Drosophila melanogaster: one gene and its partners. The protein of the gene in region 1 interacts with the protein of each later gene in a pairwise test. Each region holds a gene or a part of one and is shown in the gene's direction. Other genes may lie near its edges.

The links.
Region 2: the proteins of smid (region 1) and mbo interact in a two-hybrid assay, tested with the Drosophila melanogaster proteins (one large-scale study listed by BioGRID).
Region 3: the proteins of smid (region 1) and CG2975 interact in a two-hybrid assay, tested with the Drosophila melanogaster proteins (one large-scale study listed by BioGRID).

What each region holds. Positions count from the first base shown.
Region 1 is NT_037436.4:7,379,740-7,383,493, forward strand, and holds the start of smid (smallminded), read left to right. Parts: upstream 1-2,109; 5' UTR 2,110-2,215; coding exon 2,216-2,272; exon of another isoform or gene 2,273-2,415; intron 2,416-2,471; coding exon 2,472-2,595; intron 2,596-2,647; coding exon 2,648-2,992; intron 2,993-3,045; coding exon 3,046-3,096; intron 3,097-3,154; coding exon 3,155-3,495; intron 3,496-3,561; coding exon 3,562-3,754. Other genes in the region: SMSr (sphingomyelin synthase related), read right to left, coding at 882-1,491.
Region 2 is NT_033777.3:12,677,340-12,681,093, reverse strand, and holds the start of mbo (members only), read left to right. Parts: upstream 1-2,041; 5' UTR 2,042-2,092; coding exon 2,093-3,754. Other genes in the region: Cyp313a4 (cytochrome P450 313a4), read left to right, coding at 8-205, 259-444, 604-676, 720-846, 906-1,491, 1,559-1,719.
Region 3 is NT_033779.5:2,838,069-2,841,822, forward strand, and holds the start of CG2975 (uncharacterized protein), read left to right. Parts: upstream 1-2,055; 5' UTR 2,056-2,559; intron 2,560-2,906; 5' UTR 2,907-2,928; coding exon 2,929-3,434; intron 3,435-3,494; coding exon 3,495-3,591; intron 3,592-3,753; coding exon 3,754-3,754. Other genes in the region: Cpr23B (cuticular protein 23B), read left to right, coding at 406-417, 489-1,385.

The sequences.
Region 1 (3,754 bases):
ACACAACGACATTGTTGAGATGATTTCAGAGAACAATATTACACTTTACATACAAATGATCATTGTAATAATCGCACTAATTTTGTTGTACTCATATTTAAGATATGTATCATTTAAACCATTTATGATGCTGTATGCAAAACTTAAAATAAGAAAAAATCAAAATCAAAACACACCACAACAAACAGAAATAGAAGAAACTCCATTTCCCACACTATATCCATCAATCCCAGCCCAAGTATAGGCTTCTCTTTAAGGGAAGGGGAGTGACGTATTTGGGTGGTCCAAACCAGCCACTTCCATTATTTCAAAGAAATCAGTAATGCACTCTAGTAATTTTCCATAACGTATCCCAGCTGCGCAGCATTCGTTTATCTTTGGCAGCGCAGCCGTTCTTGTAAACATCCTAAAGCCTGACCTAAGCAGATTTGACTGCCCTCTTTCAACGCTACCTAATCTTAAGAACCCAAGAGCGAGGCTCTCCCGAAATACAAATATTGTTCAAATACTGAGGCTTCTCCTCAATCCAATTTGCATTTGATTTTTAGTCTTAAGCTGAGATCCAAAGAATAAAGTCGTGAAACTATTTCTCCTAAAAACTATTTTTTATTTCTTGGCGTTGTCCTTAGTCAACTGACGGGACATTAGTTCGACTCATAAATAAAACAACAATTTTACTATATATATACTACATAATAGTCATACCCATGGGGAAACCTCTTACTTCTCGGCTATCGCAAGGAAAGTATATGCCTGAACTGCGCTATATAGAGAAAAGCGAAAAGCTCTCGAGAATTGGCACACGACCGATAAGCCCGCCGAAGCAATCAATGGACAATTGACCTTCGTAATTGAAGGGGGGCAGGTTGTGGACCACTCACCTAAGCTCATGGCGGTCTTGAAGTATTCCGGCGGAACATAGCGTCCGCCCATGCGCAAATAGGTATCGCAATCGGACACATAGCTGGGGCATTCGGCCTGCGGACAGGGGCACGTGGATGAGGACGGTGGACCGCAGCCGGTGCTGGCTAGTGGCATGTATACCGAGTTCCCGTTCCCATGGCACTCGATGCCCAGTATTACGGATTCCGCAGAGCTGTTCTTCACCAGTAGCTGCAGCTTGAGCACGGCTATCCAGAATTTCTTGAGCTCGCCGAAGGTGAGTTTGTAGCCCAGTTTGTAGCGCATATCACGTACATCCTCCTCGGTGAGGGAGAGCAGCACCTCGCCGTCGATGGCCTCCTGGCGCAGGCAGTCGAGCAGTGTTCTCGAAAAGTGCTCCATGCAGGTGGCCCAACTGGTCACATTCTCGATGGACCACTGGGCCACGAGTAGCGGATCCACGGGCTCTGGATCTGGCGATCCATTGGTCAGGTGCTTATCTGTCGCCGCGTCGAGGTAGTGCGTCCGGGTCTCCTGATCCATTGTGACCAATCCACCGCCCTCGGAACGTGGCTGAGTCACCGGATCGCCAATTTCACCGTCGCACATCGCGCTTTCTTTTTTTTCCGTTCGATGTTCTTCTGGCTGTTTCTTATTCGTTCCAATTTTGCGATTTATCCAAAATCCAAAACAATTGTGCGGCCGAACTCAGATGGAGTGCAACATTTTTTCACTGCTGGCTGCTGTTGCTGCTGCGGCGCATAATTAACACCTCACTTATTGCGCGTCCAGCGTTTGTTGATGTAAAAGCACATTTAATTTTTGGTTTGGTTACTTGTTAAATTCAGACTACTCAGTTGTTCCGTTCAGAGAGCAAGCGAGAGAGCAGAGCGGAGTCAGCAACTATGCTGGGGGCGGGAGCGAGATAACAAGGCCGAACAGCTGACTTCGGCCATCGATAGTTTTTGGACAACGCCAACGCTATCGATGAACAGTTACTTCGGTCTTAACTGCGTGTTCACACCGAAAAATTTTCGAGAATTTCGCTCTCGTAAAAGTCAAAAGGTTTAAAACTCTTATCGTTAGCTTAATATTATTTTAAATAAAACAATTTGAGGTGTCTGGCGAGTAGAAATTATTTAAATATTAACGCTTGACTGATATAAATCTCGTTCGATATATACGAAACCATGGTGAAAATGTGGAAGAGTGGAAACGGCCTCCAAAGCGAAGATATCGAAGCCACAGCTTCGCTTCGTTAGCATTTTGCGAGCGGCAAAGTGATTTAATTGTCCTCGTGCGAATGTCTAGACAGAAGTAATCCTCGAATAATATGAAGAAAGCCAAGCCGCTGCTGCACGACCATCTAATAACGATCCGAGTAAAGAAGGTGTGTCCAAATCCGTTGTTTATATCCACAAACTAGCCAGCTGCCCGATAGCCGGTAAATTCCCATGAAAGCAGCACAAAAAAAAAAAAAAAAACACACAAAAACCCTTTGCAGGGCGGCGATTTTGGGCAAGGGAAAACAAGGTTAGGTCGCAGGCTACCCGCATCGTGTGCTAATTGCGTTCTACTTTCGATTTCAGTATCTGGAGGAGCACATCGGGGAAACCTACCTGGATGTGAAACAGATGACCAGGGAGTTGATGCAAAAGTATCCGGAATATTCACGACGCAAATTCGGACCATTCAGACAGCTGGTGCACCAAGGTAAACATGGAACATTGTGGTTATTTGTTTTTAACAAATATTTCTATTACAGCATTCTCGATCATTTCGGAAAGCTATAACTTGGACAAGGTAAGCAGTTCCGAGGAAGATTGTGTTAGCGAGGACTCCGAGCCACCACCCACGAATAGTGTGATGAACAATATGATGAACAGCCTGTATAGTCAACCAAGAAAGCCGCTGGCGCCCAAGCCAATCAGCGAGCCCATCGATATATCCAGTGGAGACGAGAACGAAGATGACTCCAATACAAAAACCACCAACGGAGATGGGGTAGCTGCTGCTGCTGCTCCTCCTCCTCCTACTCCAGCAGTGCAGGGCAGTGCTTTGAAACGCCTGATGGAGGAAGTGCCGGAGATCGCAGTGGCTGCAAAGAAAGGTGGGTTATCAATCCATTAGTCTATGACTTGGTTAAATGACATTCTTCATTAGTAGCTAAACCGAATACTATTCACGTTAGCAGTTCGGAGGCCATTCAAAAGCGTGAGTTTTTTTTTAAATACTTTTGTAAAATCAATGAAACCTAAACTTTTTGTTTTAGTGCACCAAGTTGTGGGCAACAGAGCGAAAAATCTTTCAGAGGACGCCGTTCCGCGTTCCAAAGATCACCGTAATGTGCCTGGCTTATATCAGCAGTTGCACCAAAACCAAAGTCGCGATCGCCTTCGGAAGTTCAAAAGGGATCTGGAGGTGCAGCACCCAACGGAAAGTTTCCGGGACATTGGTGGCATGGATAGCACTCTTAAGGAGTTGTGTGAAATGCTGATCCATATTAAGTCGCCGGAGTTCTACTTTCAATTGGGTCTATTGCCTTCGAGAGGTTTATTGCTTCATGGGCCGCCAGGCTGTGGCAAAACCTTTCTTGCTCGTGCCATTAGCGGGGTGAGTTTTATAAATGAACATTGAATCGTTAATTCATATATTAATCATCTCTGCTTTACGACACAGCAACTAAAAATGCCTCTAATGGAAATTCCGGCCACAGAGCTAATTGGTGGCATCTCTGGTGAGTCGGAAGAACGGATTCGCGAGGTCTTTGACCAGGCCATTGGCTACTCGCCTTGTGTGCTTTTCATCGATGAAATCGACGCCATCGGAGGAAATCGTCAGTGGGCGTCCAAGGATATGGAACGTCGCATTG
Region 2 (3,754 bases), on another chromosome or scaffold:
TGCGCAGATATCCTCAACGCATTCGGCTGCTTTCTCGACAAGCACGGTCCGACAATTTTCTCCTGGCTGGGGCCCATTCCCTTTATGATTGTGAGTGATCCCCAAGTGGTGCAGGATATCTTCACATCTCCCCACTGCGTCAACAAGGGCATTATTTACAAGGCAGTGGACGATGGCGCCGGAGTTGGATTATTCAGCCTGAAGGGTGTGTGTCTATGGAATCGAGTGTGGGAGTTACTTAAGTGTGGATTTGTGTAGATCCCCGCTGGAGCATCCATCGGAAGCTGCTGAATCCCGCCTTCGGCCACAAGGTGCTACTCAGCTTCCTGCCCATTTTCAACCGGGAGACGGCCCTTCTGCTCGATCAACTCGAACCACTGCAGGATGACGGCGAGAAGGATCTCATTCCACTGCTGCAGAGCTTCACCCTGGGAATTGCCACCCGTGAGTAAAGAAGAATGTGTTGTTTGTTTAAAAAAAGACTCATAAATTATGGCTATCACGTTTGTTGTTTGCATACAAAGTGGTCGAAAGCCAGAATGCATAATTCAGTTAGAAGAGTCGATCTGATATTAAATATATGATATACTTATATGAAAGCAGAAACCACCATGGGCAGCGATGTAAAGGATGAAGAGAGCTTCAGGAGCAATTCCTTGCTGGGGCGATACCAATGGTGAGTTTTGACTTGGAATCGGAATGCATCTATCCATTAATAGCATCCTGGAAACCATGACAGATATGTGCTTCTCTCCGTGGCTCAATAGCCGATTTTGCCGGCAGCTGGCTGGAAAGGAATCGCACTACTACCAGGCCAAAACTGAGATTCGTCAGTTTATTCGGAAGGTGAGCACCTCCAACTACTCCCTCCGCTTATTCACTTACGAATCTCTTAACCCCTTTAGATAATTGAGAGAAAGTTGGCCGAGGACGAAATGGGAGCACTACCTTCCATCCAGTCCAATGATAAAAACCTATTTCTAAATCTGGTCACGGATTTGATGAGACGAGGAGTGTTTACCCTGAAGAATGTTGAGGATGAGTCGAATATCATCGTTTTTGGAGCTTTTGAGACCACGGCTAATGCAGTGTACTACACCCTGATGTTGCTGGCGATGTTTCCGGAATACCAGGAGAGGGCCTTTGAGGAAATAAAGACGATATTCCCAAACACAGGAGACTTTGATGTATCCTACGCGGACACCCAGCAGATGGTGTACCTTGACCTGATCCTCAACGAATCCATGAGAGTAATACCCCCTGTTCCTGTCGTATCCCGACAAACGTCTCAGGATCTGAAGCTGTCCAATGGTATAGTGGTTCCCAAAGGGGTCCAGATCGCCATCGACATTTATCACATGCACAGAAGCAAAAAGATCTGGGGTCCGGATGCGGAGACCTTCAACCCAGATCATTTCCTCCCCCACAACATCCAGGACAAGCATCCGTACGCCTATATACCTTTTACCAAGGGCATTCGAAATTGCATAGGTAACAGAGTGATCGCTAATTTATGACCATTGTTTTAGCTATATTCTTATTATTTCCTTCTGTTTAGGTTGGAGATATGCCTTAATATCGGCGAAAGTTACATTAGCCAAGTTATTGCGGAATTATAGGTTTAAAACGAGTTTTCCCTTCGAAAATCTATACTTTGTTGAAGATATTACGATGAAGTTGAAATCTGTGCCACTGTTGGAGCTCCAAAAGAGAACTTAAATGTTTATAGCACTTAGTGATTTTAAATAGATTATTAAAAGTTGTTGAATTAATGGGTTCTGTGAATTATACCAATATTAAAAAATAATAACATCTACCTTTTATAATCTTTTATTAACTATTAATCAATTATTCCATTTTTTAAATTTATAGCATGATTTATGCTAACGTCTTTCGTTGAAAAGTTTAAGCAGCAATAATTATTAGTACATTTTCCGAAAATGTTGGTGTTAGCGTTTTTTTAACAAATTTCTTGTTTCATGAATTCGAATTAAAAAAATACTAAAAAAAAATACTTTGCGGATTTCCGAAGACTACTATCACACTAGCATTGACTTACAAGCCGGGCAACGAATTGAAGCATAAACAAACGATGTCGCTCACCGATGTCTTGGAATTGAACAAAACGGAGTTGTTCGCGAAGATTCGCAATGGGTTGCCCGTGGTGCAAAGGACTCAGAACCTGCTGGACTGCAAGGACGATCTGCTCTTTGCCTGGCACGCGAAGGACAGCTGTCTGTTGGTTCGCAACTGGCGCTCATCGCTGGCGGCAAAGGTGAATATCCAGTTCCAGACACTGATTCCATCGAGCTTGGTGAGCCTGGAGGTGGACCGCGTGCTGGCCTCCAACGAGGGCTCCCTCGTGGCACTAAGTGGACCGCGCGGCGTTGTCATAATGGAGCTGCCCCGCCGCTGGGGCCCCGATGGATACTACAAGGATGGCAAGCCAGTGATCACCTGCCGCACGTTCGGCCTGGACACTCAGCTTTTCCTAAAAAACCCGCACTTGGAAGTGCGCCAGGTCCGCTGGCATCCGCACTCCGTGTCAGACTCCACGCTGCTCGTGCTGCTCAACAACAACACGATTCGAGTGTACAATCACTCCAAGTTGCGCCACGTGTGGCAGGTGGGTCCCCCGGTGCTTCGAAGTGGGGCCAATAACTCGCTATGCGACTTTGGCGAGCTAGCCGTTGACTTTGACATCGCTCCTGCTGCAAAACCACGTGTCACTGAACCAGAAACAGCCGGCAATAACGAAACCACTTTGGATAAGAGCAACAAAACCCTTGTGGCGGCCAAATCGCTGCCGAAACAGGAGAGGATAGAGTGGCCCATGGTTGTGCTCCGCGAGAATGGAAACATCTACATTTTGATGACCGGCGTGGATTCGGAGAATACGCGCCTGCAGGGCCCCGTTACCATAACGCCACAGGCACATGACAATTATGGACTGGAGTCCTGTGCCCTAATGATTATCCCATCACTTCCGCCGACCATTGTTATAGCTGAATCCAATGGAAAGCTTCACCATGCTCTGCTTATGGAGGCGGAGGCCACTGAGCATTCTTTCAATGAGGTTGACGACTCTGTGTTGATTGAACCCGCCGAATACGTTGTACATGTACTAGAAACTGTCGAACTTGAGCTGGGAATATCTGCACCCGCAACTGGAAAAGAAGGAGGCAACTGTCCCATATACTTAAAGCGGGATTTGATCAATGAGCTTCGCTACTTTGCCTACCACAACGCAGGACTTCATGCCGTTACGGTCAGCTTTATCGCAGAGCTGCAACGTTACTTGGAAAGCGAGTCCGATGAAGATCGTCTAGAGCTGGCGGTCTCTGCAAGTGCAGAGTACATTCTGTGCACAAAATTCGATTCCAGTGAGACGGTGAACGCAGTCTTTGGACTTGCCCTATTACAAATTCCTGCCGGTATAGTTCTACTGCTGGGCAGCGGTCAGGTGATTAGCCTTAAGCTGGTAATTGATGCCCAGCTGTTGGTTACACCTAATGAGAATAAGCCAGTTGACTCGGAAGTGTCTCAGCAGGAAAGTGGGCCACCGTTTGTCGATACGATTAAATCGCTTTTGCAACGTAGTGTTAACCAGCCCATCTTGGCGGATAAACTTTCCTCGCCATCCGCCCAGGAGAGCTTCGAACTGCTTAACCAGGCAATCGAGGTGCTTCGTGAGCAGTACCTTAAACGACATGACCTTGTGCGCGCCGCATTTACACGCCACATCAACCAGATC
Region 3 (3,754 bases), on another chromosome or scaffold:
CTAATCGAGAAGTTAGGCAGTATTTTTGGCACTAATGAGCTGTGGTTCAAATTTTAAAAATGCTTGAATTCTTCTCCACTTTTATTGCCAACTTTTGTCCCCATTCTGATGTTTCCACGATCACACACCTACTCCATATCATCTTTTCATATGGCCTGCGCTTACGCAGCATAAAAGTGGTCACAAATTGAAAACGAAAGTGTTACCAATATTGTGTCGCGACTTTGGACAATGGTAAATCAATCAATTGAGGCGCATGACATTGTATAACTACCAACATTGGGTAATGAACTGCATGAAGTATTGGGATGAAGTATAAAAACTCCGGGCTGCTTCAATTATGACATTAGTTAGCTGACAATTTGTAGAGGCACTCCCACGAAAGGAAGATCCAAACGATTTGAGATGGCAGCTAAGGTGAGTTGTGATCAGGATGCAAGGACCAAATGGATATATTCATGATAAATACATTCAATATGTACTTGCAGTTTTTCGCCCTGCTGTCTCTGGCACTTTTGGCCACTAGCCAAGCGGAGTACAACTACAACGAGAAGGAGGCGAAGGCGGCCAACAGTGCGTCCAGTTCTGGCGAGGATTTCCTGAGCGACTACCACACGCCCAGCAACAATGCTCTGAACTCGGAGGCCACGCCCGATGGCTATGACTACGTGGCGCCCGCCAGGAATCAGTTCACCGCCGGCAGCCGTACGGCCAGTGTTCAGGCCTCCAATCTTCTCCAGAATGCGGCCAGTGCCGCCAATGCCGAATCCGTGCTGCTGCCCTCGCCGCTGCCCGTTCTCCGCCACGAGCAGAACTCGGAGGTGGTTTCATCGACGCAGCAGCAGCAGGAGCAGCAGACAGTTCAGCATCAGCAGTCGGAACCGTTGGTGGTCAGCTCCGTTCTGCGCCAGCACCAGGAGCCCGAGGTCTTTCCGCCCGCCAGCTACAGCTTCAACTATGCCGTGAACGACGCGAGCACCGGTGACATCAAGGAGCACAGCGAGACCCGGGATGGTTATGTGGTGCGCGGATTCTACAGCCTGATCGATCCCGATGGCTACAAGCGCACCGTGACCTACACGGCGGATGATGTGCATGGCTTCAATGCTGTGGTCAACCGGGTGCCCTATGCCCTTAAGGCGGTGGTTGTCCCTGTTGCCCAGGTGGCGCAGCCCACTCCATTTGTGGCTCGCGATGAGCGCTCCAAGTCGGTGGATGTCATTCGATCGTCGGGAGCGGCAGCAGGTGCCTCAGAAAATGTCCTGTCCGGTTCCGGCTCATCTTCGGGTTCCGTTTCCGGATCCGGCGTGAGCGACACATTCGCTGAGGACAGCTACGCCAATGCTCCGCGAGGGCTGGACTCCTCCGGCGGTCCCTACGCCTGAGTCCTGCTCGTGGCCTACGCACTCCTTGTATATTCCTTCATTGTGCTTCATCTATTGCTAGTTTTTTAAAAAATAAATACAAATTGTTCACCATAGCTGAATGTGTTGCCTAACTTCAGGCCTTTTTAGTTGAGATGGTTAACAAGAAGCTTGGCAAAAGCTTTTCGCTGGCATTTTGAAAATTTTGAACACAGGTGGTAAAGTGAAGCCTGTCTTGCGGAATAACTCAGGTCATTAATTTTGCGAGTGCCAAGTGTTATAGCCATTTAAGGAGCCATCGAAATGGCTTTTGGCCAATCGGTAGCTCCAAACAATGAAAGGTTAAAGTTGAGTGGACTATTTGGGAGTCAGTAACAAAAAATCATTATTTAATTATATAATTATCAATATAATTAGCTAACTATAATAGTTTGCATACATTTTTCTTTAATTTAAGCATTATTGCATTACTTGGCGAGTATGTATTCCCAAAAACTCTCTTTAACTGACTTTGATATTTGGTATACTGTATATATATTTTATTTTTCGGATTGAAAAAACGTGTATTGTATTGTACGGTCGTTAAATATCTGGCAACATGGCAACGGGAGAAGCGTTAAGGTATTTCACCAGCAACATTTTCGAGTTGGATTTAAGCCGAGTCTGTCAACTGCCGGCAAAGCGTGAAGACGTTGTTAGCTGTTTGTTTTCGAGTTGCTTTTTATCCGTATTGCCTTGGCTCTTTGTTTATTTTTTGCTTTTTTTGGGGGCATCGAGTCGCGTTCGAGCCGCGTTTATTTTTATCGCCGTTCCGCTGAGGGCTTGTGATTGATATTCTGTGCCAGTGCGCCGAGGTAAAAGAGTGAGGAACTCCAAGTATCCGTCGCATAATTGAAGCCAACGATTCGAAACGGCCCAAATGTGTTCGAAACGGCTGGAAAAAGCGTCACTTGCCATTTGCAGCTCAGCAATTGCGGATCGAATTGAACTCGGGCCAATTGAGCCAACTCCAATCGGCCGACAGCACAACACACCTGAGCAGAAAGCCAACTGAGTGTTTTCCCGAAGGTCGACCGCATCTTTACAGGCTTTCGACTCTGCGTCACTGGCTCAAGAATGTGTTAATTCGGTGATTCAAAAACAATATCAACGACAACTGGTCGGTCGGTCGCAGCAGCAAAATTTGCATAAAAAAGTAAACAAACGCGGATCGTAAAAATAAGAGAAAATAAGCAGAGATAAAATCGAAGCGAATCCAACAGTCCATACATCAATCTTTAAGCTATGAAAGTGAATACTATGAATAACGCCGAGAAAAGAGTGTTAAATATTTTTGAAAATATTTATATAGCCTTTATTGATATATAGATTGTTTATTAGGTTGTTTATTAGATTCATTTAGCAACTTAAAACCTAAAACCTTACTGTCCTGTATCAAGTGAATATCTTATAGATACTTCGATAGCTTATCAAATTGCTTATCATATTGTCATATATAAGTGTATATTATCATATACTGATAAGTGTATTTTCTCCGTAAAGCCTCAAGAGGAGCATCAGAATGATGGGAGTACGACCGAATCGAAAACGTTTGGAGCTGATGCTAATGTTGCTGATCGGTCTGGCATGGGGAATACTTCTGTCCGAGCTGATGAAACGAACTCGCTGGCAGAATCATGCGGATCGGCTGAAGGAGGAGAGCAGTCCCTTTCCGAGCAGCCAGCGGAGCAGGAACCTACGCACCCCACCCACCATTGCTCCTTCGACCACGAATCCACCGCCGGACATCCTGGCCGCGCGACTCTTCAACGAGACGCGTGTCCTGTGCATGGTGCTGACCAGTCCAAAGACGCACCACACCCGCGCCATTCACATCAAACGCACCTGGGGAAGGCGCTGCAACAAGCTGATCTTCATGAGCACCAAGGCGGACAAGGAACTGGGATCCGTGGCGCTCAATGTGAGGGAGGGCTACTCCAATTTGTGGCCCAAGACCCGGGCGGCGCTGCAGTACGTCTATAAGCACCATTTCCAGAAGTACGACTGGTTCCTCAAAGCGGACGATGACACGTAAGTGAAATATACTTTTTAATTTTTATAAATAAACTATATTTTTATTATCTCTTTCAGCTATTTTATCATGGAGAACCTGCGCGCCTTTCTACACGCCCACAATTTCAGGGAACCGGTTTATTTTGGAAACAAGTTCCGCCAGCATGTAAAAGAGGTATAATATAGAATTCGAAAAATTTTATATCTTATAGTTATAGTCATATTTAGTTTAGATTTTTTTCTTTTCTCTACATAAGGCCAGTATTTACAGCGAGTCGCCAAAAAGTGTGCTTCAAACTCCAAATCCACTTAAGAAATTATGAATCTTTTTTTTTAGG